Linked DNA regions of Macaca mulatta. The protein of the gene in region 4 interacts with the protein of the main gene of each other region in a pairwise test. Links are inferred from orthologs where the notes say so. Each region holds a gene or a part of one and is shown on either strand. Other genes may lie near its edges.

The links.
Region 1: the proteins of TRIM27 (region 4) and POLE2 interact in binary tests that used the Homo sapiens proteins (3 or more experiments, as listed by UniProt). The two-hybrid records come from large-scale screens. The link is inferred for Macaca mulatta from reciprocal best matches to the Homo sapiens genes TRIM27 and POLE2.
Region 2: the proteins of TRIM27 (region 4) and TRIM29 interact in a two-hybrid assay, tested with the Homo sapiens proteins (2 studies listed by BioGRID and IntAct). The link is inferred for Macaca mulatta from reciprocal best matches to the Homo sapiens genes TRIM27 and TRIM29.
Region 3: the proteins of TRIM27 (region 4) and CCDC102B interact in binary tests that used the Homo sapiens proteins (3 or more experiments, as listed by UniProt). The two-hybrid records come from large-scale screens. The link is inferred for Macaca mulatta from reciprocal best matches to the Homo sapiens genes TRIM27 and CCDC102B.
Region 5: the proteins of TRIM27 (region 4) and PIMREG interact in binary tests that used the Homo sapiens proteins (3 or more experiments, as listed by UniProt). The two-hybrid records come from large-scale screens. The link is inferred for Macaca mulatta from reciprocal best matches to the Homo sapiens genes TRIM27 and PIMREG.
Region 6: the proteins of TRIM27 (region 4) and NUDT21 interact in binary tests that used the Homo sapiens proteins (3 or more experiments, as listed by UniProt). The two-hybrid records come from large-scale screens. The link is inferred for Macaca mulatta from reciprocal best matches to the Homo sapiens genes TRIM27 and NUDT21.
Region 7: the proteins of TRIM27 (region 4) and SPATA2 interact in binary tests that used the Homo sapiens proteins (3 or more experiments, as listed by UniProt). The two-hybrid records come from large-scale screens. The link is inferred for Macaca mulatta from reciprocal best matches to the Homo sapiens genes TRIM27 and SPATA2.

Annotation. Positions count from the first base shown.
Region 1 is NC_133412.1:122,869,713-122,873,212, reverse strand, and holds part of POLE2 (DNA polymerase epsilon subunit 2), read left to right. Parts: intron 1-1,591; coding exon 1,592-1,700; intron 1,701-2,527; coding exon 2,528-2,704; intron 2,705-3,500. UniProt on the Homo sapiens protein: Accessory component of the DNA polymerase epsilon complex. Participates in DNA repair and in chromosomal DNA replication.
Region 2 is NC_133419.1:120,805,998-120,809,497, forward strand, and holds part of TRIM29 (tripartite motif-containing protein 29), read right to left. Parts: intron 3,014-3,500; coding exon 2,780-3,013; intron 1,191-2,779; coding exon 992-1,190; intron 1-991.
Region 3 is NC_133423.1:11,949,062-11,952,997, forward strand, and holds the start of CCDC102B (coiled-coil domain-containing protein 102B), read right to left. Parts: upstream 2,801-3,936; 5' UTR 2,723-2,800; intron 1-2,722. UniProt on the Homo sapiens protein: During interphase, forms fibers at the proximal ends of centrioles to maintain centrosome cohesion. During mitosis, dissociates from the centrosome following phosphorylation to allow centrosome separation. Contributes to CROCC/rootletin filament formation.
Region 4 is NC_133409.1:154,415,202-154,419,487, forward strand, and holds the start of TRIM27 (zinc finger protein RFP), read left to right. Parts: upstream 1-1,486; 5' UTR 1,487-1,575; coding exon 1,576-1,995; intron 1,996-3,228; coding exon 3,229-3,324; intron 3,325-4,286. UniProt on the Homo sapiens protein: E3 ubiquitin-protein ligase that mediates ubiquitination of various substrates and thereby plays a role in diffent processes including proliferation, innate immunity, apoptosis, immune response or autophagy.
Region 5 is NC_133421.1:7,925,440-7,929,374, forward strand, and holds the start of PIMREG (protein PIMREG), read left to right. Parts: upstream 1-1,135; 5' UTR 1,136-1,219; intron 1,220-1,794; 5' UTR 1,795-1,829; coding exon 1,830-2,123; intron 2,124-3,935. UniProt on the Homo sapiens protein: During mitosis, may play a role in the control of metaphase-to-anaphase transition.
Region 6 is NC_133425.1:52,007,898-52,012,006, forward strand, and holds the start of NUDT21 (cleavage and polyadenylation specificity factor subunit 5), read right to left. Parts: upstream 2,801-4,109; 5' UTR 2,669-2,800; coding exon 2,553-2,668; intron 1-2,552. Other genes in the region: prolyl 3-hydroxylase OGFOD1, read left to right, coding at 3,068-3,221. UniProt on the Homo sapiens protein: Component of the cleavage factor Im (CFIm) complex that functions as an activator of the pre-mRNA 3'-end cleavage and polyadenylation processing required for the maturation of pre-mRNA into functional mRNAs.
Region 7 is NC_133415.1:102,752,112-102,756,074, forward strand, and holds the start of SPATA2 (spermatogenesis-associated protein 2), read right to left. Parts: upstream 2,801-3,963; 5' UTR 2,772-2,800; intron 1-2,771.

The DNA.
Region 1 (3,500 bases), on a different chromosome or scaffold from region 4:
CCATCCCAACCTAAGTGAACTCCTGATCTTCCTCCCCACCAGCGCCCCTAACCTCTTCTGTAGACTTCTCCATCTTAGTTCGTGGCACCTTCATGGCCTGAATAACAATTATTCCAGTTGTTCAGGCCAAACACTTTAGGGTTTCTCTCACATATGTTTTTTCAGGAAGTCCTATTAACTTCAAATTATATCCAGAATCTGCCACCTGTCTATACCTCCACCTCCACAACCCTCTACCACAGTGGTACCCAACCTTTTTGGCACCAGGGACTGGTTTTACAGGAGACAGTTTTTCCAGAGACCCCAGGGGGGTGGGGGTGATTTTGGGATGATTCAAGCGTATTACACTTATTGTGTACTTTATTTCTATTATTATTACATTGTAATATATAATAAAACAATTATACAACTTACTATAATATAGAATCAGTGGGAGCCCTGAGCCTGTTTTCCTGAAATTAGATGGTCCCATCTGGGGATGATGAGACAGTGACAGATCATCAGGCATTAGATTCTTACAAGGAGTGTGCAGCCTAGATCACTCACATGTGCAGTTCACAACCGGATTCGTGCTCCTGTGAGAATCGAATGCCCCTACCGATCTGATAGGAGGCAGAGGTCAGGATGTAATGCAACTGATGGGGAGCGGCTGTAGATACAGATGAAGCTTTGCTTGCTTGCAGCCTGCCGCTCACCTCCTGCTGTGTGGTCCAGTTCCTAACAGACCATGGACTGCTAGCAGAGCCCCGCTCTGCCATCTGGTCGGCCTGGATTATTACAATAGCCTCCTAATTGGTCTCCAGCTTCTACCCCTTCCCCTCCATATTCTACTCTTAATGCAGTGTGAAAGTGATCCTGTAAAGCATAAGACATATCCAGTCCATCTTCCTGATCCTGGAAAAAGGGCCCCCTCATGTGATTTAGTGACAGCCGTATCCTTGCAGTGGGAATCAAGGCCCTGTGTGATCTGGCCCCGTTCTCCCTCTGATTTCCTCTCCTCCCCATTTACTCCAGCCACCCTAGCTTCCCTTCTGTTCCTCAAGGATGCCAGGCAAGCTCCAGTCTGAGGGCCTGTGCTACATCTTCCCTTTGCCTGCAGTGCGCTTCCTCTAGATATCTGCTTGACTAAGTCCCTCTTCCGCTTCAAGCCTGTGCTCAAGTCACACTAAATTATGAGCCCTGCCTGTTCTGATCATCCTATTAATATGCCAGCCTTCTAGGCTCTCTCTTCCTACATATGTTATCCCTCTTAGCCTGTCTTTTTCTTTTTCTCATACACTTAATTATCTTAAAACATACTATATAATTATGTTTGCTTTTTATTTTCTTAGCCCCACTCTTCACTAGAATGTAAACTGTATGAGGGCTGGGATCTCTTGGTTCTGTTCGCTAATCCCTAGAAGGGGGTAGGCATATATTAAGAGCTCAATACATAGCTGTTAAATGAATGGATGAATAGACAGACTCTGGTTGCAGTTTTGTATGGTGAACAGTTGATGTGGGAATGGGCTTGTATTCTAAGAGATTTTACCTTTAAAATTAATCTCATTTTTTTCTGAGAAGTCAAATTCAACTACTGTTTTCATTTCAGAATTCAGTACTGTACACAGGAAATTATTGTCTTCCGTGAAGACTTAGTAAATAAAATGTGCAGAAACTGCGTCCGTTTTCCTAGTAGCAATTTGGCTATTCCTAATCATGTAAGTGAAACATCTTTTTTATTAAACTGTCTTACATGTTGCATTATATAAAATTTTATTAAGCCACTTAATAATTTGTCCTTGGGTTAGGACATTTATTTATGGTTCAAAATAGTTTGAACATACTTTTGTCAGTATGTTAATTTCTGTTAGTGAAGTCAGTGTTTCGCAGCTTTCTACCAAAGTGTATACCCTAAAGGACAGAGAAAAGCTGAGAATAAGCAGAAAATTTCTTTCAAGCTTTGTGTTTTGTCTTTTAAACTCTTAAATCATACTTTAAAATATATGTATATTTGTTTTAATAAACTGTTCTTATTTATCCCATTGGTTACATATTTTATATAGTATGTCCATATCACAAGAATGTGCAGTATTTATCTTGTAGCTTCAAGGTTCCCTCACATACAGTTATCAATCCCAGGTTACATATACCCCCATTTGAGAAGTATGGAAATAGATGTTACAGAGCATTTGTGTTATTCATTTTATAATATTTAAAGTTTATGGACCAGGCGCAGTGGCTTATGCCTGTAATCCCAGCACTTTGGGAGGCTTGTTTGAGGCCAGGAGTTTGAGACCAGCCTGGGCAGCATAATGATGTATATATATATGTTATTAAATGAAAACTCATAGATTTTTTTTCCCTAAAATACAGAATAGTTCATTTCGTTTTTAAATTAGTGTCTCCCAAAGCTCTGTGAGTCAAAGCTTTCCTAGTTGTTTCTCAAATTTTCTGGTTCCTTTTGGTTTAATTTGAAATTATTTGTTTAGCTATTTTCACTTTTGCAAATGAATTGAAGTTTGTTTTGTTTTGTGCTCTTTTGTAGTTTGTAAAGACTATCTTATCCCAAGGACATCTGACTCCCCTACCTCTTTATGTCTGCCCAGTGTATTGGGCATATGACTATGCTTTGAGAGTGTATCCTGTGCCCGATCTACTTGTCATTGCAGACAAATACGATCCCTTCACTATCACGAATACTGAATGCCTCTGCATAAACCCTGTAAGAATGTAGTTAATCTTATATAGTCATTATTTGTCAAGATTAGAGTACATTTTTTAATTTAAAATATATATTTAATAAAATTATTGTTGAAATAAAAATATGCTATTAAGGAAACACTGAATTAAGTTTCTATACACAGAAAGTTGGTATACACAGAAAGTTCTTAAATTTTCAGTATAGTATGTGACTATAAAGTAATGTGACTTTTTAAAAAAAAAACAAAACAACCATACCAAAACATGAATCCAAAACAGTATTTTCTCCTCTTTAAAACTTATATTGGGATTCCCTTCTGGGAATTGCTTCAGAGTCTGTATATTGGTGGTACCTGTCCTTTGAAAATGATTTTGATTTTTAGAAATTGCACAGGTCCCAAAAATCTAAGCCTGATTAATGTAGAAACCTCATTGGTACACATTTTATTACTTTTTATGTAGAACCTTGAAATTGCTTCAGAATCTTGACATTGCTTCAGAATTTCTACAGAAATATAATTGACTTTTAGGCTGGGCGTGCTGGCTCATGCCTGTAATCTTAGCACTTTCAGAGGCTGAGGCAGGTGGATCATGAGGTCAGGAGTTCAAGACCAGCCTGACCAACATGGTGAAACCCCGTCTCTACTAAAAATTACAAAAATTAGCTGGGCGTGGTGGCGCACAACTGTAATCCAGCTACTCGGGAGGCTGAGGCAGGAGAATTGCTTGAACCCGGGAGGCAGAGGTTACAGTGAGTGGAGATCACGCCATTGCACTCCAGCCTGGGCAACAGAGCGAGACTCCATCTCAAAAAAAAA
Region 2 (3,500 bases), on a different chromosome or scaffold from region 4:
ATATGGCTTCTTGCTGAAATGGCTTATCTGTCCTTGGGTGTGACTGAATGTCCCCCACATTTCACAGGGACACTGTGATACTGCCATCACCAAGGTGCACAAATGGCCTCCTGAACCCCAACCCTTCCGCACACTCCTATCCCCCTCATGTCCTTCTCCTCCCCCAAAGAATCATATGCTGTGTCTGGAGAGCAATCAGGGGTCCTTTCCTTTGGGGTATTCACGTCTAGCATTCATTAAGAAGGCTGTACTCTCAAGGCCCCGTGCAACACCTGGGACATCGGGTGGGGCCTTGGGGAAAGTGCCCAGGCTTCAGGCCCTAAAGGGACTGGGTGGAAAAGGACTTAACAATGTTGTTTCTCAGGTTCAGAGGTTTTCTGTGAGATGATTCAGTTGACCTCTGAGGGGACAGCATGACTCAGAAGAAGAGCTGACTTCAGGGGAGCTGGTGAGTCACAGAGACACTGTCCCACCATCCCCAGCCCAGCCCACCAGGCCAAGTCCAGCCTCTGGGCTCAGCACTGCTCAGCATGGCCATGATGACAGGCAAGTCCTCCCTCCAGGCATGGCTGCAGTTCTAGGTCACGTCTGCTAGAGTCTGCAAAGCCACCAGTTTGGAGTATGGCCCGTACCAGGGGCAGGATCCATACAGCTGCCGGGCGGGGCCCGGCAATTAGATGTAGATCTGAACAAAACCAGTCTCTGAGTTTGATGGACAACCCACAGAGAGGAGGCATTTGTGCAGCCAGTGCCCAGGATGTCCCTGCTCTGGAGGCCTCTTGTTATAGCTGCATAACTTTGGCAGCAAGTTCAAAGGAGGGGGAGGGTTAGAATCCCTGTATCCTAGTCCAAACAGCCTGAGGAAGGGTGGATGGGTGGGTAGGAACAATGAGAATAAGCTCACCGGACGCCAGCCCATGTCAGGCAGCAGGAATTGATTTGGGACAGAAAGGTCCATGGCCTTGGGGCCCAGCCACGAGAGGGGACCTACCGTTCTCCATGTGGTTCCTCTCAATGAAGTTACGGCTCAGGTCCGCCTTGCACATCTTCTCAACGTGGCGCATGCATACATTGAGCAGGTCGTCCTTGAAGTTGCCTAGCGACTGTCCCAGGCCCTCCCCCTCCAGCAGGACATGATAGGTGGGCAGGGGTGGGGGGAGAGAGTAATTGCTCATCAATGCACCAAATTCCTACCAAGAAAGGAAAAAACCATTAACTGCCTGGGTCTTCATGAGCTATGAGGACTCTTCTCTGCCAGGGGCTCTCACAGTGCAGCTGGGGATCTCAGTGCTGCAAGCCCCACTCTTCCTCACTGGACGTTTGTTTCTTCTGTAAGGTGAAAAGGTTCAGCTAAAACTCACTGGATGCTAACAGCCCTGATGGCATTGGCATTCAGATGTGTGACTCCACGACTCCCACCGCTAAAGTGGGTGCATCTGTTTACCTCATAGGGTTTGTGAGAGGGACACAAGCTGTGAAGACTGGGAGTGAATGCACTAAAGAAATGCAAGGAATGACTATGGTATTCAGGGTCAGCCACGGTGGTATTTCTTTCTTTCTTTGTTTCTTTCTTTCCTTCCTTCCTTCCTTCCTTCCTTCCTCCCTCCCTCCCTTCTCCTTCCTTCCTTCCTTCCTTCTTTTTCCTCCTTCCTTCCTTCCTTCTTTCTCTTTCTTTCTTTCTCTCTCTCTTTCTTTCTTTCCGAAGCCTCACTCTCTCGCCTAGGCTGGACTGCAGTGGCACGATCTTGGCTCACTGCAACCTCCGTCTTTCAAGTTCAGGCAATTCTCCTGCCTCAGCCTCCTGAGTAGCTGGGATTACAGGTGAGTCCACCATGCCTGGCTAATTTGTTTTTGTTTTTGTTTTTTGTAGTAGAGATGGGGTTTCATCATGTTGGCCAGGCTGGTCTCGAACTCCTGATCTCAGGTGATCCGCCCGCCTTGCCCTCCCAAAGTGCTGGGATTACAGATGTGAGCCACCACGCCCGGCCCACAGTGGTATTTCTACCTTTACATGCCATGCTCAGTGCTGCCTTTGCACTTCTCATTTCCCTTCCTCCTCACCGAAGACTCTGTCCTCCCTCTCAAATCCTAACCGGCCTCCAAGACCCAGTTGAAACTCCACCTCCTCCACAAAGCTGTCTTAGCTTCCTCTAGCCCGCCTGCCCTTCTCTGAGCTTCTACAAGCACTTATCTCCTGAGCCATATGCTTTATCATTTAATTACACACTTTTCTATATTGTTCTCTAATTGTACATGTCTTATCTTCCCAGCTGGATTGCAGTTGCTTGGGGGCAGAAACCATGTCTTGTACTTCTCTATTCGCCACAGCACCTAATAGAGTACTGGGCATGCAGTAGTATCCAAAACACTCTAGCAGATGGAAGGATGAATGGACGAATAGACAAATGGACTAGATCCAAGATAACAAATAGGCAGCACTCCTACGCCACTGCCCCTCTACCCGATTCACTGATCTCAGAAATCTTTCCTACCGAGCCTACGGCACTGCTAGCACATATCAACTGAAGTTCATAAAAGGTGATATTTGTGTGCCATCTTGAGAGTAGGTAGAGAAATGGATTGGATTAAAAAATTAAACAGAGAGAATGGCACTTGGATAGATGGATGAATGGATGGATGGTTGGATGACTGGATGGTGAATGAATGGATAGATGAATAGGTAGATAAGTGGATAGGTGGATGGATGGATGATGGAGGGGGGTCTCGAAAAGTGCACGGGGAAATTGAGGGCTTGAGTGACAGAGGAGTGGCTTGTTACCTGAAGAAACAACACAGAGTCGCTGATGCTGTGCAGCTGCTCCCGGGTCTGCTTGTCTTCATTCAGCACCTTGGCCCTCTCATCCAGAGCATCCACGATCACCTTCACTTGGTCCACAGCATCCTGCTCCCGCTGCTCCAGCGCAGCCCTCACTTCCTCCTTTTGCTTCTCCAGGTCCCGCACCAGGTCCCGGAAGTTCTGCTCCAGGATGGCCTTCTCATTGGTGGTGAAGCTCTAGAGGTCCAAAGTCAGGGAAGGGATTAGGCAGGGCTTTAGTTAGGGAAAGAAATCTCCCTAGTTGGGTATGTCTTTAGGTTTCCAGCACAGGGTCAGGGCATTCCCACTGCCCTAACCTGGCAAGTCTGTTTAGCCAAGAATCTCATTCAAAGGCATCACTGAGGGATGCCACCTACTGATAGAGATAGCCAGGTTTGTTCACAGCCCACATTCCTACCGTGGCTCCTTCCTCTTGGTGGGTTGATATGAGCCATCATTCCCTGTGGGCCCCAAAGTTCTCCCATGGGTCACAATATGCTCCCTGAAACTCTAACCAGAACCAAACATCCTTCAGAAAATGAATGTATATGTAGAAATGTGTATTCAGAAAATTAATGTGTATGCCAGCTGTGTATGTAGTCAGCGTCAAGCAGGCAGTGATTTCAGATTGTAGTTTGCAATTACCCAAACCACGGCAGACACATATTTAGCCACAATGGCATAA
Region 3 (3,936 bases), on a different chromosome or scaffold from region 4:
CTGATAAGGGTTTGCTCTCTGCTTCCAGGATGGTACCTTCTTGTTGTGTTTTCACATGGCTTAAAGTTGAAGGGGAAAAGGGGTCTAAGACAATCCCTTCAATCTCTTTTATAAGGTCTCTAATCACATTCATGAGGGTCCCACCTCATGATTAAATCATGCCCAAATGGCCCCACCTCTTAATGTTATCATATTGGCAATTAAGTTTCAACATATGAAATTTGGGTTACACATTTAGACTACAGCAATATGTATGCAAAATACACAAGGTATATATATATATACCTGTACAAGTGTAGCTTATCTGAAAGTCTTTTTAAAAATATTGTCAAAATAGTAGAATCTTTTAAATCTCAAAAAAAAAATCACCACTTGAGGTAGATAAGCAGAAAAAAACACTTAAAATTTTCACCGCAGAATATGTTTTAGCATGTGGAAATTTAGCATGTTCTCTGAACAAAAAGCCTAAAAAGTTTATTGGTTTATTAAATCATTTTCAGATTAATGCATTATTTTGATCATTTTCACGTTGCCTAGATCAGTGATGTGCAACGGAAATATAATGCAAAACCACATATGTAATTATAAATTTTCTAGTAGCTACACTTAAAAATAAAAACATGTGAGATTAATTTTAATAATTTAATTAACTCATATCTAAGCTATAATCATTATAACATATTATCAGTACAAAAATATTGAGACATTTTACAGTTTTATATTGTCTTCCCAATCCAGTGATCCAGTGTATATTTTACATTTATAGTATATCTCGTTACAACCTCTCTAATTTCATCAGAAATATTTAATTGATATTTATTTTATAGAGACATGGTCTTGCTCTGTTGCCAGGCTGGAAGGCAGTGGCAGGATCCCAGCTCACTGCAACCTCAACTTCCCTGGCCCAACTTATCCTCCCACCTCAGCCTCTGGAGTAGCTGGGACCACAGGTGTGTGCCACCACATCCAGCTGATATTTTTTTTTGGAAACAATCTCCCTCTGCCGCCCAGGCTGGAGTGCAGAGGTGCAATCTCGGCTCACTGCAAGCTCGGTCTCCTGGGTTCATGCGTTCTTCTGTCTCAGCCTCCCAAGTAGCTGGGACCACAGGCGCCTGCCACCACGCCTGGCTAATTCTCTGTATTCTTAGTAGAGATGGGGTTTCACTGTGTTAGCCAGGATGGTCATAATCTCTTGACCTAGTGATCCATCCGCCTCAGCCTCCCAAAGTGCTGGGATTACAGCCGTGAGCCACCGCGCCAGGCCACATCCGGCTAATTTTTTAATTTTTTGTACAGATGGGGTCTCCCTGTGTTGACCAGGCTGGTCTCAGTCTCCTCACCTCAAGCAATCCTCCTGCCTCAGCCTCCCAAAGTGCTGGGATAACAGGCATGAGCCACCGACGCCTGGGACTTGATCAGTATTTAGATTTCATAAAGTTTACAGTTGAAAAAGTAGATTCACATACCTCAGTTGTTCCAACCATATTAAAAAAACTTTCCAATAGCTGAATCAAGTGCCAGTTTTTGAGTTTACTGAGATTAAAATTAAATATTCAGTTACTTCATCACACTAGGCACATTTCGAAAGCTCAATAGCGACATATGGTTAGTGGCTACACTACTGAAGAGCACAAATCTAGGTCAACCTGTTTTCGTTGTTCTCCACATGTGAACTTAAACTGTAACGCAAATATAAAAAGATATTATTTTATTTTGCATGATGTGGAAGACAGAAAAATTTGAAATACATTAGAATGAAAAAAAAATTGAATATGGGTCATTCAGAGACCTTGCCAAGAAAGTAGAAAAGCTTCTGTATAAGAGTATCGAGGCGATGGTACTATTATAAAGCTGTTCCACCACCGCGAGAACATTACCATCACTTCAACTGTCCTCTTACGTTTTAGTCTACTTTTTTCAAAAAAAAAAAAAAAAGAAAGAAAAGAAAAGAGAAACAAAAAGAAAAATTGAATCTGCAGAGGGCTCGCGTTTGTGCATGCTGTATGCACAAAGGGGGTGACATTTAGGGCTTGCTCTCAATTACAGTGCAATTTAATCTTCCAGTCACTAGGAATAACAACGTTTTATAACATTTCGGCCTGTTGGAATTTTGAACCTAAGGTGAACCGGCTGACATCATATCCCCCTTCTGCTGTCATAGGTTTTCAAAATTTGGTTTGATCTAAATTCTCTGGTACCTTATGTCCCATAAAAATTTCATCTAATTCGGAAGTAGTGACTGCTGCAGTAACCGTCTCATGAAAGTATATGGTTTTTACAAATCATTGTCGTGTAGAAGAAAAAACAGGTAGCAATATAAATATTTCATACTATTTATTTAGTCCCAAAATAATCAGAAAAGAGTCATCAAAAAATATCCTACGCTTAACTTCATGTTCTCAAGTTTCAAGAGAAAGTTTTTAAAGAGGCAATCCTTACTTTGGCAAAAATGCATTAAAGCTTGCTGCATTTAAGAGATGTCCCATTATGCAAACAGGTTGAAAGAATATTACAAGTACGTTTTGGAAAAATACGGAGTGTCGCGCAGCTCAGCAATCCACAGTCTTAATGCGCGCCTCTTTCCAGGAATTTGATCCAGCATCAAAACCCACAGGTGCATTTACTGCATGGGAGTAGCAAGTAAATGATGTGCCAATATTCAACCTGCAACTGCGTCGTCGGAGCCTACCTCACCCTCAGCGTAACTTTCACCGGTACTCACCTTCCCAGAAACTCGCCCCAGTGAACAACCACCGTTGTCCCTAGTAAAGCCCTTAAGCAGGGTTCCCACGCTCCTGGGCTGGGCGGGGCGCCGGGGGCGCAAAGCATTCTTAAGAACACGACTGCGCAGGCGCTACCCTCCTCGCGCAGGCGCCGTACTCCCCCTCATAGCCAGAATTAGAGACCAGCCGGGTGCTGGGAGGTTAACGAGGCCGGCTAGTCCCGCCCCCGTATTGAGCGCGGTGCTTCTCTTCCGCTCCGGGTGGGGTCTGCTTCCCTTTCCGGGCGGGCAGGCAGCGAACCCCAGTGTCTTTATCCCTCTTTTGCACAGAGTCAGCTTCTGCAGCTCTCCCTGGCTGGCATGGCAGCGTGGAGGAGTTGGGCCGCTCTGCGGCTCTGCGCCACAGGTAATGGGCGCGCAGCGGTCGGAACCTGGCCCCGCCGTGGGGCCGGGATTGGGCTCGGGTCTGGGGCGAGGCCTGCGGGGCCCGCGGAGATGCCCACCCGGTCCCCGGCAGCGTCCTGCCGTCCCCGCCCCACCGCCCTGCCTGGCCGTGAAGGAGCGGACACCTGAGGGTCCTTCCGCCGCTGCTGTGCGGGACCAGTGCTGGACGTGGGAAGGGCGCGCTGCCTTGTGTTTGTGTTTTTCTCATTGTGGCAGGAAGTTTCAGTAAAGCTTACTCCTTTGATGGGCAAGAAGGATGCCGCCGTCCCACCTTAACGACCAGATCTTGTCTTGACTTTAGGTTCCGAGTCTTGTTATGTTTAAGGGTTTTTACCACCAGTGCTCAGAGAGGGTGGTCGAGGACAGATCAGGGTCAGGCCGCCGGGATTGTGCGGTGTGAAAAGGACCTGAGTGTGTGTCAGCGGTTCTCAGCTGCCTCCCGTCAGCACGGAGTGCCCTCATTCTCACTGGGGTCCGCTCACTTAACCTTTTAGAATCCACTCTGTGTCAGACACGGCCGTGTAATAAGTATTAGAGTTACAGCTCGACTTTCTTTCTATTTGGGGGTAAATATTTTGAATGACATTTGGAGTTTTTACTGAAGAGATAATTGCTATTAAAGCAAAAGAAGTATAGAAGAATGCTGTCTATATTCCAAAAAGATGGAATGGTAAAAAGGAGAAGTAAGATGAGAGTGAAAATGAGGAAAAAGGAACTGTGTATATTAGCTTTATTGGCTTACCTAGAACTTGGCCGGTCACCATGTGGTT
Region 4 (4,286 bases):
GCCCGTATTGCTCAGATAGCAGGACAATATTGAGAAAATCTCAAAGAAAAGCAGGAGACATCAAGCAAGGGATAAGAAAGCAACTTAAAAATGCTGGAGGTCTACTGCATGATAAGACAACGAGTATTGTGGGACTCCAAGACCCTGGGTCACTGTAGGATTCTTAGTCTCTCTATACTTCAGAAAGGAGCAAGCAATTTTTAGTTGCTCCTCAATACAACAACCCTATGTAATGGGCATTTTGTTACTATTTTAATGGATAAACAACCTTATGGTTCAAAAAGTAAAAGATGTAACGAAATCTACTTCTTTACGGCGGTACAGTTATCATCCCCATTTCACACGAGGAGAAACTGAGGTAAATGAATGGTAAACCAACTTGCTTGGGCACAAGTGAGAGGTAGCAGAGCTGGGCTTGTTATTGCCACACAGAAATGTTACCATCTGATAATTAAACCTTTCTTTTTCTAAACAAAACTGCAAGTGCCTACAAATGGGTCTGTTTAATAAAAGGCCTCACCTATCAGGTGGGCTCAGACGGTGACCCTCCTCATCCTCCAGCCTCTTGGGGAAGCCAGATGTCTGCGCTCCCCAGCACCTATATAAAGCCAGCTTTCTTTCTTCTTTTCTTTTTTTTTCAAGACGGAGTCTCGCTCTGTCGCCCAGGCTGGAGTGCAGTGGCGATCTCGGGTCACTGCAACCTCCGCCTCCAGGGTTCAAGCGATTCTGCTGCCTCAGCCTCCTAAGTAGCTGGGACTACAGGCGCCTGCCACCACGCCCGGCTAATTTTTCTATATTTAGTAGAGATGCGGTTTTACCATGTTGGCCAGGATAGTCTCGATCTCCTGACCTCGTGATCCACCCGCCTCGGCCTCCCAAATGCTGGGATTACAGGCGTGAGCCACTGCGCGCGGCCAAAGCCATCTTTAGCAGGGGCTGAGACCTGGGCACCAAGAAGAAACCCAACTAAACACTAGGGGCCTGGGCCCGGCAGTCGCGGAAGCTTGTAGGCCCGGAGCGTGTGGCACCATCTGCTTTTGTGACCAGTCCCCTAGGCTAGAGCTTCGGCGCGACCCGCCCAAGGGAGAGTGGCGGAGCCTCCCAGGCCTTTCTAGAGAAAGCAGCCCGGGCCCCGAGGCCACGAAATCTTGTCACACACTAGAAGCGCGGGCCAAGCCCCGCCCCCCGAGCCGCCTCTTCCGCTCGCGCCGGGGTGGGGTCTACGCGGCCGCCGGGATCCGCTCGGACGCGGCCACGTTGTCTTGCGCGCTTTGCGCGCCTGGCCCTGGGATCCTGACCCTTGGCTACCCGTTCCTGCCCCAGTAGCGTGGCCGCGAGTCTCTGTGAGCCGGCTGTATTCCCGCACTCGCTCAGGGGGCACAGGCGCAGGGATCGGCCCGGCCACTCTGAGCCTTCGGTGCGCGGGCGCGTCTGGGATACGGGCCCGGGAGGCACCGCCCTCCGTCCGCCCGGTGCCTCCCAGGAACAGCGAACGGGAGAGAGCGCCGGAGAGTTGGGCTCCGTGCAGAGCTCGGCGCCGGGGCCCATGCCCGTGAGCCCCCGCAGGCCCGCGCCATGGCCTCCGGGAGCGTGGCCGAGTGCCTGCAGCAGGAGACCACCTGCCCCGTGTGCCTGCAGTACTTCGCAGAGCCCATGATGCTCGACTGCGGCCATAACATCTGTTGCGCGTGCCTCGCCCGCTGCTGGGGCACGGCAGAGACTAACGTGTCGTGCCCGCAGTGCCGGGAGACCTTCCCGCAGAGGCACATGCGGCCCAACCGGCACCTGGCCAACGTGACCCAGCTGGTGAAGCAGCTGCGCACCGAGCGGCCGTCGGGGCCCGGCGGCGAGATGGGCGTGTGCGAGAAACACCGCGAGCCCCTGAAGCTCTACTGCGAGGAGGACCAGATGCCCATCTGCGTGGTGTGCGACCGCTCCCGCGAGCACCGCGGCCACAGCGTGCTGCCGCTCGAGGAGGCAGTGGAGGGCTTCAAGGTGAGGGCGCGGATCCGGGAGGGCGGGAACGCGAGTCGGACAAAGGGAGGAGAGAGCCAAAGGGGCTTCCCTTTTTCCGCCTAGAAAATGGCTGAGCCGGACGTGTGGTTCACAGCCGTCATTTCCTCTCTGTCCGCCCCAGAGCCTCAGCACTCAGATTTGGAGGAAAACCTGTAGCTGGCGAGGGAGCCAGAAGTCTCCCCACCCCCACTCTCCTTTCTCTGTGTGCCCCCATGTTTCCTGTCTCACGGACACATTGTACACGGAGACATGCTTTTGACAGTATAAAAGAAGTGCATAAAATCGCTTGCACATCGACGAGCTGTAGAGACACATGTACTCTCGTCGGCTGTCAGACAAAACGCAGTCGGACATTAACTGACCGATGCCCATTCCTTGGTCTATAAGCATTTCCCCAGCACTTTCCTGCAATACGTCCTGGTCTAGAAACTCACAGAAAAGAACAGGCTCTTCACTGCTTAAGTCATTTAACCACTCTGAGACTCAGGAGATAACAGTTATGAGGAAGATTATGGAATCATGTGATGCACAGAGCCCTCTGTGAACTGGCACAGCTAAACAGAAACGTGGAAACAAAATATTACATATAAAACAGTTGTAAGGTGACCTTCAAGGAGTCCATGATACTGTGTATTTTCTGTATGTTGAGGGCTTCAGGAATTCATACACAATTATGTCCGTGTTTAAATATGAATACATTCATGTGTAATTAATCACTTAACATTTATGGACCTTTCAGCTATATTCTTTCACTTACTCTGGTGAGAACTCTTGAGTAGGTTGGGAAGATGGTGTTTGCCCATTTCACACATGAGGGAAATAAGAAGTCACTTTCACAGTATGCTTGTGTGGAAGAGCTACAATACAACATAACTCTAAGCCTCCTACTCCAGTCACAGTTCCGCTAAGTCATGCGATATCCTACCAGGGACAGGTAGATGATTCATTGTTTAAGATAGACACAAATAATCCTGACGAGGTAGCTGAGTGGTTGAAGCGACAGGCTGCTAAGATAGACACAAATTGCCAAATGAGTGGCTTGTTGGCCCCTGCGCCCTGAGTCTTTCTCTTGTGGGTGGCAGTGTGGCCTGAGAACAAGTGCCAACTGGATACTTGGCATCAGGTGTGTGGACTCCATGTGTGATTAGAAGTACCATGCTGATGCTAAGGTCTACCTAGTTTTGAACTGCCCATCTGTTTTGCTTTTCTCAGGAGCAAATCCAGAACCAGCTTGACCATTTAAAAAGAGTGAAAGATTTAAAGAAGAGACGTCGGGCCCAAGGGGAACAGGCACGAGCTGAACTCTTGGTAAGGGTTGTTGGAATTCACAGTCGCTTCTGCTGGTGCTCCCCTCTTCTGTAGAGCTGATGTTACTTCCCTTAGACTTGTCCAGCATGTCACCCAGAACCTGTAGGTAGAGGGGGATCAACTGCACATGGCAGTGGGAACTCACCCAGAGAACTAAGAGATTCCCTTTCTTTTGGGGAAAGCGTGGAGGAGCCAAGTTTGGAACCCTTGGAAATCAGACCTGTCAGTATAGTTTAACCTGCTAACTGCGTAGACCAAGGTTGATCCTTGGCAAAGCTGAGATGGGTAAAATTATTGGATACAGTTAGCTTGCGTTGTTACCATTCTTCAGACAAGTGCTAATAGTGGATTTGTGTAAGTCCCACTGTTGCTTCTCTTTGTGTTATTCTCCTTTCTTGACAATGCCTTAATTCTGAATTTTTTGCTCTGCTCTCTTCCTCCAATCTCTCAAGGCCTCGACAAGTGGCTGATGTATTAATTTATGATAGGGGTATATGGGAATTTTTTCTTTTTATTTCCGACAGGGTCTCACTCTGTCACCCAGGCTGGAGTGCAATGGCAAGGTTTCGACTCACTGCAACCTCTGCCTCACATTTCAAGTGATTCTCCCACCTCAGCCTCCCAGGTAGCTGAGGCTACAGGCATGTGCCAACACACCCAGCTGATTTTTGTATTTTTAGTAGAGATGGGGTTTCACCATATTGACCAGGCAGGTCTCGAATTCCTGACCTCAAGTGATCCACCTGCCTTGGCCTTCCAAAGTGCTGGGATTACAGGTGTGAGCCACTGCACCTAACTGGGAATTTTGTTTTGAAAAGAAAAAAAAAAACAAGGCAGGGCATGGGGGGGGGTGGCGGCTCACACCTGTAATCCCAGCACTCTGGGAGGCTGAGGTGGGCGGATCACCTGAGGTCAGGAGTTGAAGACCAGCCTGGCCATGGTGAAACCCCGTCTGTACTAAA
Region 5 (3,935 bases), on a different chromosome or scaffold from region 4:
AGTGAGCCGAGATCGTCAGGCTGCACTCCAACGTGGGCAACAAGAGCGAAATTCTGTCTCAAAAACAAACAAACAAATGCCACCAATATACGAATTTGGGCATTACATTTCCAACATGTGAAATTTGAGGGACACATTCAAACCACAGCAGAGGGTCAAATCAGTTAATAAACTGCAACACCAGTACCTGTGCATACTAAGGGCCATATACACGTTAATCATTATCATCATCCTTTCGTTGGAAATCACTGAGGCCAAAGGAGTGGGTGAGACCGCCCAGAAACGAAGAGGGCTGAAGACAGTCTTTCAAGAAGTCAGCATCTCAGGCTCTTGTGCCGGAGAGGAAACAAAGAAACCAGCCAGGGGACTGGGCAGCACAGCTCTGAGGTCACCGAAAGGAGAAGGATGAACTTCTATAATGGCTGATTGTGTTTGGATGCTAAGGAGAGGAGAGGCAGGCATTCCGCTGAGAGAGGGAGGGATGCGTGGGGCAAGGCGGGGACGGGGAGCTGGTGTAGGCGGGAGGAGGGCAGACGAGTACTCTGGTCTATCCCCGCTTCCAGGACGCATCTTCTGGGAGGGGGGCGCGGAGCATGGATGGCGAGTATGGGGAACTCAGAGAGGGACAGTGTCTTGTCACAGGAAGGGAGGGTCAGGAGGGAAATTTGAAAGGAAACGTCTCTGGGAACCCAGGGCTCCGCACTGCCAGGCCCTGGCTCCTTCGGACAAAACCACTGAGCAAGAAAGAAAAGCCAGACCCCTTGGCAGGATGGACAGGGTCCCTGCCCACTGCGGGGTCTGAGGCCTGAGGCCTGAGCCAGGAGGCCTAGATCCCAGGACCTCCGCCTCCACCCCATGGATCAGAGCAGCCTCAACCCCGTGCGCGCTCCAGGGAGGGGACCCGGCGTGCGATGCGCGGGGGCTGGGCGGGCAAGGGCGGTGGCCCGGGCGGGACGCATAACACAAAGCCCGGAGCCACGAGGCTGGCGGCAGGGAGGGGGCCGGAGAGATGAATGGGGACGGCCGGGCCAATCCGAGCGCAGCATTTACAGCTGCGACAGAGAAAGCCAATCGGATCCCTGGGGCGGGGACGGGGGCGGGGACAGAACCAATCAGCTGTGAGGACGGGGCCTGGGGCGGAGCCGCGCAGAGTTTCAAACCGGCTGTGGTGGGCGAGGAGCAGCTGTGCTGGGCGTGTGATCCGCGTTGGTGCTGTCGGGTGAGTGCGGGCGGGGCACAACAAATTTCGTTCTTGTTCCCCAGGCTGGGTGCAATGGCGCGATCTCGGCTCAAAACAATTTTTTTTGTTCAGAGGGGAGGGCATTGGGTTCGGACACGCACGGCCTGTGGAGGCGTCTGGGTACTACAAGCGTCGGATCAAAATCAGGGCGTCTGGTGGGAAGGCCGGGATCTGCGTGGGGGCGCGTTTGGTCTGGGCGAGCTGGTGAAGGAGATGGTGATCGTGTCCTGGGCCCAGCGCTGAAGCTCGGCTACGGCGTGTCTTGACCCCGCCTCCCCTCCACGCCTGAGCCAGAGAGAGGAAGGAGGTTGGGATGAAAAGACAGCTGTTTTGGAAACTTGAAGTGCGGGACAGCAGAAATGCTGCTGACCCGAGACCTCTCTTCCAGGAAGCATCCTCCTTCCCGCACCCACACTTGCCAACTCGCCCGCTCCCCGCTCGCCCTCGCCACCCCGCTGCATCCCATCTCTTCCCCTGTGTCCAGGGTCTCTGTGGGGCCTGGAAATGGGGATGGGGAATGCCTTGCTGACCTGCTTTTTTGCCCTCCTCCCCAGGGTCTAGTGGACAGAGAAGACTCTTGGCCAGACAAATGGCTTCTCGGTGGCAGAGCATGGGGACCTCTGTGCGCCGGAGATCTCTCCGGCACCAGGAGCAGCTGGAGGACAGCAAGGAGCTGCAGCCTGTGGCCAGCCATCAGGAGACCTCTGCAGGGGCCCTGGGGTCTCTGTGCAGGCAGTTCCAAAGGAGGCTGCCCCTGAGAGCCGTCAACCTCAACCTCTGCACAGGCCCCTCCTGGAAACGCCTGGAAACCCCAGAGCCAGGTCAGCAGGGCCTCCAGGCTGCAGCTCGCTCAGCTAAGAGCGCTTTGGGTGCCATGTCCCAGGTAATAGTGACAATACTAATCATCTTTTTTATGGAGTGTTTCCTTGGTGCCAGACAGTTCCTGCCCTCAAAGAGTCTCAAGAATATAGACTCCAAGAAGACAGGGATTTTGGTTAGTTCACTGCTGTTTCCCCCGCACCCCAAATAGTTCCTGGCACATATAGGCACTCAACAAATAGTTGAATGAGTTAGTGAAAACATGTCTTGGAGGAAACAGATGCTCACAATACCAGGTGATAAGAGCTGTACGTGATAGGAAATTGCAAGCAAGTGGCCAATAGCGAGGGCTCGCCAAACACAAACTTAGCCGGTGAAGGCTTCCCAGAGGAGATGATTCCAGAGTTCACCCAGGGAAGCAAAGGTCAAGGGGTATTTAGGGTAGGAGAAATAGTGCAAGTCCAGAGCCCCTCAGGTCCAAGCCTAGAGCTGAGGGAAAGCAAGGTGTACTGCCAACTCAGCCGTGTACCCCTGAGGAGAGCCAGAATTGTAGTCTGGGTATGAGCAGAGGACAGAGAGCAAGGTAGAGCCGGGAGAAAGGACATGAAGGAGCTTAGACTCTCCCAGGAATGATCAGGAGTCTGGAGGATTCTAAACAGTGGAAAGTCTGGTCTCATTAGCATATTAGAATTTGTCCTTTATCTACGTGATGGAGAACGGAATAGAAGCAGAGGTGCTCCTGAAGGAGACTAAGGATCTGGACTTGCAGAGGATAAACTTCAGGAGCTGCTGAGAAGGTCAGTTAGAGGGGATTTGCTGTCAAATGAGAGGTGCTGGCAGGAAGATGTCCTTATATTGGATGTAAGCGTCTATGGGCCCTTCAACCGATGCATCTTTAAACCCAGAGCTGGAGGTGTAGACGTGTCACTTAGAAAGGACAGAAGCCATTAGGATGAACAGACCTCCAGAGAGAGGACTGGGGGCTGCAGAGGTTTCTCCTCGGTGTCTCATTGGGAATTCTGAAGACGAGAGAATTCTCCAGAAAGAGAGTGGCTCTTTCTGGACCCTCTGCAGAGAGTTCTCTGAGCCAAATGTTAGTCTTTATTTGGAAGAACTTTTTGATTGTTTTCGCCACCCTCAGGGATCAGAGAAATGAAATGAATTTGTCCAAGGTCACGTAACTCATCAGATTTAACCTGGGCTGGGCTCCAACCCCTGGGCTCTGGCTTGCCAAGGCAAAGACAGTCGAGCTGATGAAGAAGAGCCTTCACAGCCGTCACCCAGCTGGTGTGAAAGGCCCAGGAGTTGGGGCTTGGTCCTATGTGCAACAAGAAGCCATAGAAGGGTTTCGAGCAGTTGAGTGTCACAGTCAGAACTGCCCTTTAGAAGGATCACTATGGACCACTGTAGAGGGTGGATAGAGTGAGTGAGACCCGAGGCAGGAAGACAGGCGCTCTCCTGGTGTGCAGGGGGTGCTGGGCGGGGGAGCCTGCTCTACTCTGGGCCCTCTCCTTCAGTCCTGGGGTCAATCTGTGTCTGGAAAGAGAGTTTGGACTTAGACAAACAGGCTCCAGGCACCAGGGGGATCCTCCTGCTGCTGACTGCTGCTGTCATATCCAGGAGCTCTGAGCTGGGTCCCTGCCGTGGACTCATTCTACGAGGAGTCAGTCACATCCTTCACCCTGGAGACTAAAACAGCCTGTATTTACAGGACACTTGGTGGGTCTAGGGATCGCTGGTAGGGTCTGGAGACCAGGGTAGTTTACCCTTGGGTTTTTTGTTGTTGCTTGTTTGTTTGCGAGACAGGGTCTCACTCAGTCGCCCAGGCTGGAGTTCAGTGGCACGATCTCGGCTCACTGCAACCTCCACCTCCCGG
Region 6 (4,109 bases), on a different chromosome or scaffold from region 4:
ACATTATTGCATCTACTACACTCAGCCATTCTTGAAAGGGGGAAAAAATCAAGGTTGCCAAAACTTTAAAAATTACTTTAAGGCCGGGCGCAGTGGCTCAAGCCTGTAATCCCAGCACTTTGGGAGGCCAAGACGGGCGGATCACGAGTTCAGGAGATCGAGACCATCCTGGCTAACACGGTGAAACCCCGTCTCTACTAAAATACAAAAAAAAAAAATTAGCCGGGCGAGGTGGCGGGCGCCTGTACTCCCAGCTACTCGGGAGGCTGAGGCAGGAGAATGGCGTGAACCCGGGAGGCGGGGCTTGCAGTGAGCTGAGATCCGGCCACTGCACTCCAGCCTGGGCAACAGAGCTAGACTCCGTCTCAAAAAAAAAAAAAAAAAAAAAAATTAATTTCAGAAGCCAAGTTCTAGGCATATGAAAAAGCTATAAAATAATTAAAATATACCATTTCAAGGATGCTTTAAAGATTTAAAGAACGTCCCCAGTAGACCCAAGGCTAAATCTAACACCATCATCCATAGCAGCAGCAGATATGCTACACAGCACGATGTGCCAGGCAATTTTTTCAAACGCTTTACATATATTAACATTTAATTCTCACAACCTGAGTTAGAAAGAATTAAGGATAGCCATTACACATCTCTGTTGCAAGAGCCAGCTCCAATATATCAGTAATGTCAAGATGAAATGTCAGAATTTTCACCTGTGAAATCAGAGTGCCAGCCCAGACATACATATTGTTCTCATCATACTGTGAGCTTCATAAAGCAGGGGCTACACCTTACTTCCTCACCACTGTATATCCAGTATTGTGCACAGTGCCTGGCACAAAGTAGGCATTCATGCAATATTTCCTGAAAGAAAATATACTGGGGAGAGCGCATTTGTTTTCAACTTAATATTAACTCAGGTGAACTTAAGTTCACAACACAATGATTATTTCTGAATATTTATATTTATATAGGAGAAGAAATGTACTGTAAATCAACCCATAATTTTAATAGAGCGAAGATTAAAATCTTGCTGAAAGCTAACTATTTTGCCAAGTTAATTCTACATAATGGCTTGGTGCAAATTAATTCAGTAATCAAGACAAAACAAGAAAAGACTGTGGGTTTTAGCTCTAATCACCACTGAAAGTAACCCAGAAGCTGTGCTTTCATACTTTTAAAAAGGATAACATTTGCCTTTACCATTTGATGGATTTTTTTCTTAATTTTTAAAAACATTTTTGTAGAGACAGCCTATGTTGCCCAGACTTGTCTACAACTCCCGGCCTCAAGTGATCCTCCCACCTCGGCCTCCCAAGGTGCTGGGATTACAGTCTTGAGCCGCCACTCCTGAGGACTTTTATACACACAACTATCGACTAATTCCAGATTTTATAAACCCAGCATTTCCATCATCTAAATTTCCAAGCCAACACATTTTACAAAATAAAACAATGTTAACCATCTTTTCAACTTCAAATCACTTTGGTTGGGGGACGGAGAGAGAACGTCCATTTATTTTAATATAAAACAAGAGAAACACCTAAACTGCCCTACGAAAACATCAATACCACCAAATCCTTGCACTTGTACACAGACTGGCATAAACTGGCCACTTTCCTCCATCAGGAAAATAGAGGCACCACGTTGCCTCGAAAACAAATCCTCAGACACGATTTTAAAAAGCATTACTGACAATTTCTTCAGACATCTCAAACGTCAATTACCTGCTACAGCGAGTCTGCTGCTGAGAGTGACCTTGAAATGCAATGGTTTCAAGTGTTGAAACGGAAAGGTGTTGAAAATAAAACACAGCCCACAATGGGTTTTCTGGTACAAACATTCTGGTTCCCTCCAGTCTGAAAGCCCAACCATAGCAGCATCCTTACTCCCAAGGAGGGGCCTACTTGGGGTGCCTGGGATGCTGGCGTTGAGACATCATCAGACGACGCGAAGGCATAAGGCATGAGGCAGGGCAGACAGCCCTGAGCACATGAATAACATGTGTTGTATTCATAAACCGAAATATTTAAGTAGCAATTAAAAGGAAAAAAACTAGACCTAGGCATTACAGCTGGATCTCGAAAGCTTACTGTCAGAGTGAAATGTGCAAAAATGATACTAGGTTATACCATTCGTACCACATCAACAATCACAAAGCAATACCATATACGTGATGCCAAAGCATAAACATTTCACGGGAAGGATAAAACACACACACACACACACACACACACACACACACACACACATTTTGAAGTTGGTTACCTCTGGAGAGGTGGGGAAAGGATGAGTTAAAAGCAAACTCCGTTTTTCCCCATTATGACCGAATACATAGGATGGGAACAAGCCTTCCTTTACAGAAAAGGACTCTTAACTCCCGGAGGTAGGAGGATGAGAAAGGGGCCTGAGGGAGCGAGGAAGGCGCGCATCCGCCAGCGGGAGTTGGAGGCTGGGAGGTGCGGAGGCGTGAAGCACGCCGAAAAGCCGGGGACGCGCGGGAGTGTCTGTAGGAGCGCTCACGAGAGAAATGCCCGCCAAGGCCGCCCCGCACTTACAGATTGATGGTGCGCTCCAGGGTGAGGGGCTTGGTCTGCTGGATGTACTTGTTGCCGAACTGAGTGACCCCCCGGGGCCAGCCGGTCTGCGAGCGATTGGGCGGTACCACAGACATGCTGGCGAGCTCCGGCGCTGGCGGCGAGCAGAAAGTGGGAGGCAGGGGAGACTTTCCCGGTGCGGGAAGCGGTTATCTGCAACCCCCTCAGCAGCTACCGCCCGCCATTAACAGGAGAGCGCAAGAGGAGGCGTAGGCACGCCGGAAGTGAACCCGGAGCCTCTGGCGGCAGGAAGTAGAGAGGAGGTGGCCTGCCAGACCGAGCGCCATTGGGCCAATAGCTGGTGGGATGGCTGCAATAGCTGGAGCTCCCATTGGTAAACCGGGTATAGGTTCCGCCTCCTCTTGCTTTGGTGATTCCCATTGGAAACACAGTAAAGGAGGCATGCCGGGAATTGTAGTCCCCTCAGGAAAGTAGCGTCTTGATCAGTGTGGCGTGGTTCTGTACCTTGGGAGGAGATGAATGGGAAGCGGCCAGCGGAGCCTGGCCCAGCCCGGGTGGGAAAAAAGGGAAAGAAGGAGGTGATGGCGGAGTTTTCGGACGCTGTTATGGAAGAAACCTTGAAAAAGCAGGTGGCTGAGGCCTGGAGCCGCAGGACGCCGTTCAGTCACGGTAACCGGGTGCTCTCAGGGAGGGGCCGCCACGCGGGGATCTGGGGACCTCTGAAAAAGCCCTGGGACTCGCGCGCAGCCCTGGGTAGCGGGGCCGCCAGGGAAGACGCTCTTGGAGGACTTTGACCACCTTGTATCCTCCTGCCTCGGCTGCTGCTCCCTTTCACTCCAAATTCGGTTTGAATTTAGAAATGTGAGAAAAGGGAGAAATGGAGGCCGGAGAGTTTTGGGAAGCAGAGGGTATGCAAGTGATAGTTGCATTCTGGAGTCACAGATTACTGAGTTAGAATCCTCTCCCCTGATTGCGCGTCGCCGGGCAATGGAATTAACCTTATTGAACTTCAGTTGCTTCCTGAGTAAAATGGGATAGTTCATAGTATTTACGTCAGAAAGTCTGTGAATGGGAGCAATACACTAATGCTTGCAAGCTTCAGTAAATGTTTCCCTGAGTAAGGCCCAATACACATCTGGACAAATACGGGAGTAGCTGATGTCATTTCTCCTGCAAGGGCGTTGCTCGGCTGTCCCAGGAGAGTCTAGCCAGGGCATTTGTGGCGAGCTGCCAGCTCGGCTCCCTAGTGTACTCGTCTCTACGCGCCTGTAGTTTGACTCCATGTTGTATGAAAATAAACGCGCGTTGACCAAGGAAAGGAGCCTACGTTGAACGATTCCAGCCTCAGTTTTAAATATCACCTTATGTGTTCAGAGCTCTGCTTCATGCGCCAGGCATCCCCTTCTAGAGTTTGCCGTAATTTCTCTTTCGTTGTCAAGTGCTTTGAAGAGGTGAGTCCTGGGTAGGCTGGATGCCTATAGAAAACGATGGCGTAGTGTTAAAGTGCAGGCTCTGTTCTCTCAGTTTCTACATCTGTAGGATGGAGAGAGTGATAAT
Region 7 (3,963 bases), on a different chromosome or scaffold from region 4:
CTGTAATTTTTTTCCAAGGAAGTCAGCCTTGAACTCAAAGAGACTGATTTTTTACAAAGTCAGCCAGTCGCAAGCTCGGCTCAGCGTATGCTGCTCTATAATCGCACCACAGTCCACACCCTTGTTTGTTGCTGAAAAACAATAAATAAAGCAAAGGGATCCAAACAGCCCAGCTGATGTTCAAAATCTGAACAACAAGGACAGGAAGTCCAAAATATCTAAAACAAATCTCCAAACAACCTGGGTAGGTGAGGGAAAAGGCGGAAGAAAGTAAAAGCTAAAAGATAATTAAGGGCAAGACATGCCTGGACAACATAGACTCCATCTCTACAAAAATAATAATAATAATAATTATTATTATTATTATTAGGTGGGTGTGGTGACATGCACCTATAGTCTTAGCTACTTGGGAGTCTGAGGTGGGGGGATCCACTGAGCCCAGGAGTTTGAGGCTGCAGTGAGCTATGATGGCACCACTGCACTCCAGCCTGGGTGACAGAGCAAGATTCTGTCTCAATCAGTCAGTAAGGAAAGGAAAGAAAGAGACTAACAATTACTGAGGTCCTACTATGTGCTAAGTATTGGGCTTCCCACTTTACCTACATCATCCCATTTAATCCTCACAACTCTATAAGGAAAACAGGCTCTCCCATTAAAACAACCTGTCCAACAGAGTTTGAAAGGATCAGAGCTGGAATCTGAACTCTTGTTGGCAGGCCCTGATGCCTGGGGCTTTCTCCAATTTATCTCACTCATTTATTGTTACATCAGTACCATTTACCAAGGGATTACTGTGTGGCAGCTCTCTGCTAACTGCTCTATGAAAAACAATGAAATCCATAGGATAGATCCAAGGTTAAAGAGGAAACTGAGGCTCGGAGAGGCCAACTCACTTACCCTAAGTCATAAGGCTAGGAAGAAGTGGCTCTGAGCTCTGAACCTAGGTCTAATGCCAAAACTCTGACTCTTGCAAAGCCATCCTGCTGCATCTGCTGGACAGCTCTACTCGAAAGTGTCTGGCTAAGTTAGAATGCCTTATGGCGGCGCGAGCAGAGTTGAGTTACAAAAATTCCTGTAGTAGCAAAATTCCCATCTTCCCACACCGAATGGGGCTAGGAGAGCTAATCTCTATATGATGTAAGCTCAAGGGCCGAGGAAAGAGGCTGGCCGGAGACATCGGCCAGTGATGAAGCAGCTGACATCATCCCTGCTGAAAACATTTTCTGAGAATACAAGATGCCTTGTAGCTGGTCATAGCTGGTGTTTTTTCTGAGCACAGAGCCAGCAATTCATTCCCAGCACTCTGCAAGAACAACAAAATACGCTCTCTGCAAAAACATCGTGGTTACAGGAGACCGAGACAGCCCAACGACAGAAGCTGTTAATTTCTCCAAGCAACCCAAGGATTGGAACGCCAAGCCGTGCCAGTCTGGTGGGAGAAAAAAAAAAAAACCCAAAAGACAAAAAAACAGCACTGTGAATATCCTGAACATAGAGGCAGGCAGGTGCCCAGAGTCAACAGCTCCAGTCAGCACCTCCTGAACCCACAATCTAGGCACCCTCTTGAAAAGCAAGTCAATGGAAAGAGAGATATTGCAGTCAGGGAGGCAGTGGCTTATTTAGTTATTTTCTAAACATCTAAGAGGAAAGCTGTATCTGTTTAGACTCCCACTGCATGGAAGTGAAGTGATTCCGAGTAACAAAGCATTCGCTTGGCTTTACCTCAGCTGGCCCATTCAAGCAGAAATGTTCCCCAAGCAGTATTTGAAGGCGCCCCCTCTCTGCACAGGCAGAGCTATTTTGGTCTGTGCACTGCCCCTGTCCACAGGTTTACACATCCCTGGTCTAGCTCCATCAGCCTCCAAACAGCAGACGAGGAAGTCAGTTCAACCCCCTCCACCTCCCCACCCACACCAATGCACTCGTTCCAAGCAAGAGGCTCCGAGACACATCCAAGGCACCTTCCACGGGCTGTGAAACACCAGAAGGTCCCCACACTCCTACTAGATTCCAAAGAAATTCACACAGAGTCCTTCCAAACCTCTGAAAATAACCTCAGCGGTGCCGAAAGAAGCTTCCCTAGTGGCAGCTGCCTCTGAAGGAAGCTGTTTCCCTCCCTGCAAGGGACAGAAGCTGGCGGCTGCTAAGTCCCAGCTCGGTCATTCCTACAGCCTCGGGGGGCCACGTCAGTTGTGAAAAACAGCCCAGTCTCAAATTCTGGCCCTCCCCACGGGTTCGTGAATTGAATGAAGTAACAGGAACTATCACTTACTGGACGCCTGCTGTATGCCAGGGGCCCTGCATGATCTCATTCCATCTCTACTCCAGCCCTAGCAACCAGGTTCAATCACACTTAAACAGGCAACTGAGGCTCTTAAGATGAAGTGACTTATCCAAGGTCACACAGTGAGTACAAACCCAGGTGTGCCGCCAGAGAGTCTGAACTGGGAACCCCTGCGCAGTAACCGCCTCGTGGCGAAATCGGGGTGTCCTTCTGTTTGGCCAGTCGCCGAAGAGAGGGTGCTCCTCTTGAGCGGCCCTGAGCCACCCTCGGTGGGTTCCAGGAGCTTACAAGGCAGCTCCCAGGAGAATGGGGATCCTGAGGATAGGCTGGGGGTCCCGGGAGCGCCGAAACAACGGGCCCACCTGTAGTCCTGCCTGACGTGAGGGGACCCCGCTCACGGGCCAGCAGAGCCCTGCCGCTGTCTGGCGCCCCCTCCACCTGGGGAAGCCCCGGACACAGTTTCCGCTCGCGGCCGCCCGTCACTCACCCTGACACTGCCGCCGAGGGCTGCCCGGCCGAGGGAAGCAAGCGGGAGGCGCGGCTGCCGCCGGAGCCGGGCCCCACTGGGCTCTAGCCGCTCCGGCCGGCTGCAGGGGTACTGAGACCAGTACCCGCGGGCCAGCAGCGACCCGGAAACACTCGGCCCGGAAGTGAAGTCGCCAGGAGGCGGGTCCGAAGAGAGGGTGGACCACGGCTGCGCGCTGGCTCCGGGAAGCGGTCGATGCCCGCGGCCGACGGAGACTACAAGCCAGAGGCCGAGAACAAAGCGGAAGGCCGAAGAACGAGGACGAAAGCGGCGGAACGGCAGTTTGGAGCCTAACGAGCCATCGTCGCGTCTGGAGCTAGGACCCGGAAGTAAACAGGCCGGACGTGACGGAAGCCACTCGGTTTAGGGATGGTGGCTGGCCGGGTTGTCATGGAAACCGCTACGGAGCCTGGAGCTGCATTCATGACTCCGCACAAGCAAGCAGGGGCTAACGGTCGGATCCCTCGCCCCCATTGTACGAACAGAAATACTGAGGCTCAAAGAGAGCCAGTGAGACGCTGAAATCACGCGTGATTGGAATCCAGCCTTGCTAGGGCTGTCGGTGTTACGGGCTGTGGGCGACGGTTAAGAGCGTGGGTCCCATTTTTAGCTTTGCCACTTACTAGCTGTGTGACCTTGGACAAGTTACCTAACCTCTCTGAGTCTCAGCTTTATAACCTGTAAAATTAATAAAGCCAGGCGTGGTGGCACGCGACTGTAGTCCCAGCTACTCGTGAGGCTGAGGCGGGAGGATCGCTTGATCCAAGGTGTTCGAGACCAACCTGGGCAACATAGCAAGGCCATGTCTCTTAAAAAAAAAAAAAAAAAAAAAAAAAAAAGCCGGGCACGGCGGCTCACGCCTATAATCCCAACACTTTCAGATAAATTATATATATATAAAATATATATAAATATAAAATATATATATAAAATCTGACATCCCCACCAGACCCTGAGCTTCTTATTCATCTGTTTCCCCCCAAGCTCCGCACATGTCTGATGAGGAGGCACACAATAGATGTTCATTGATTGTAGGATTCTCACTCTGAGTCTCGGTGACCCCAGCTAAAACCGGTGGGCCTTGTGTGATGAATCAGTGACTTTAATACTGGGAAACGTTTGGAGAACCAGCAATCTGCTGTCCAAACAGTAG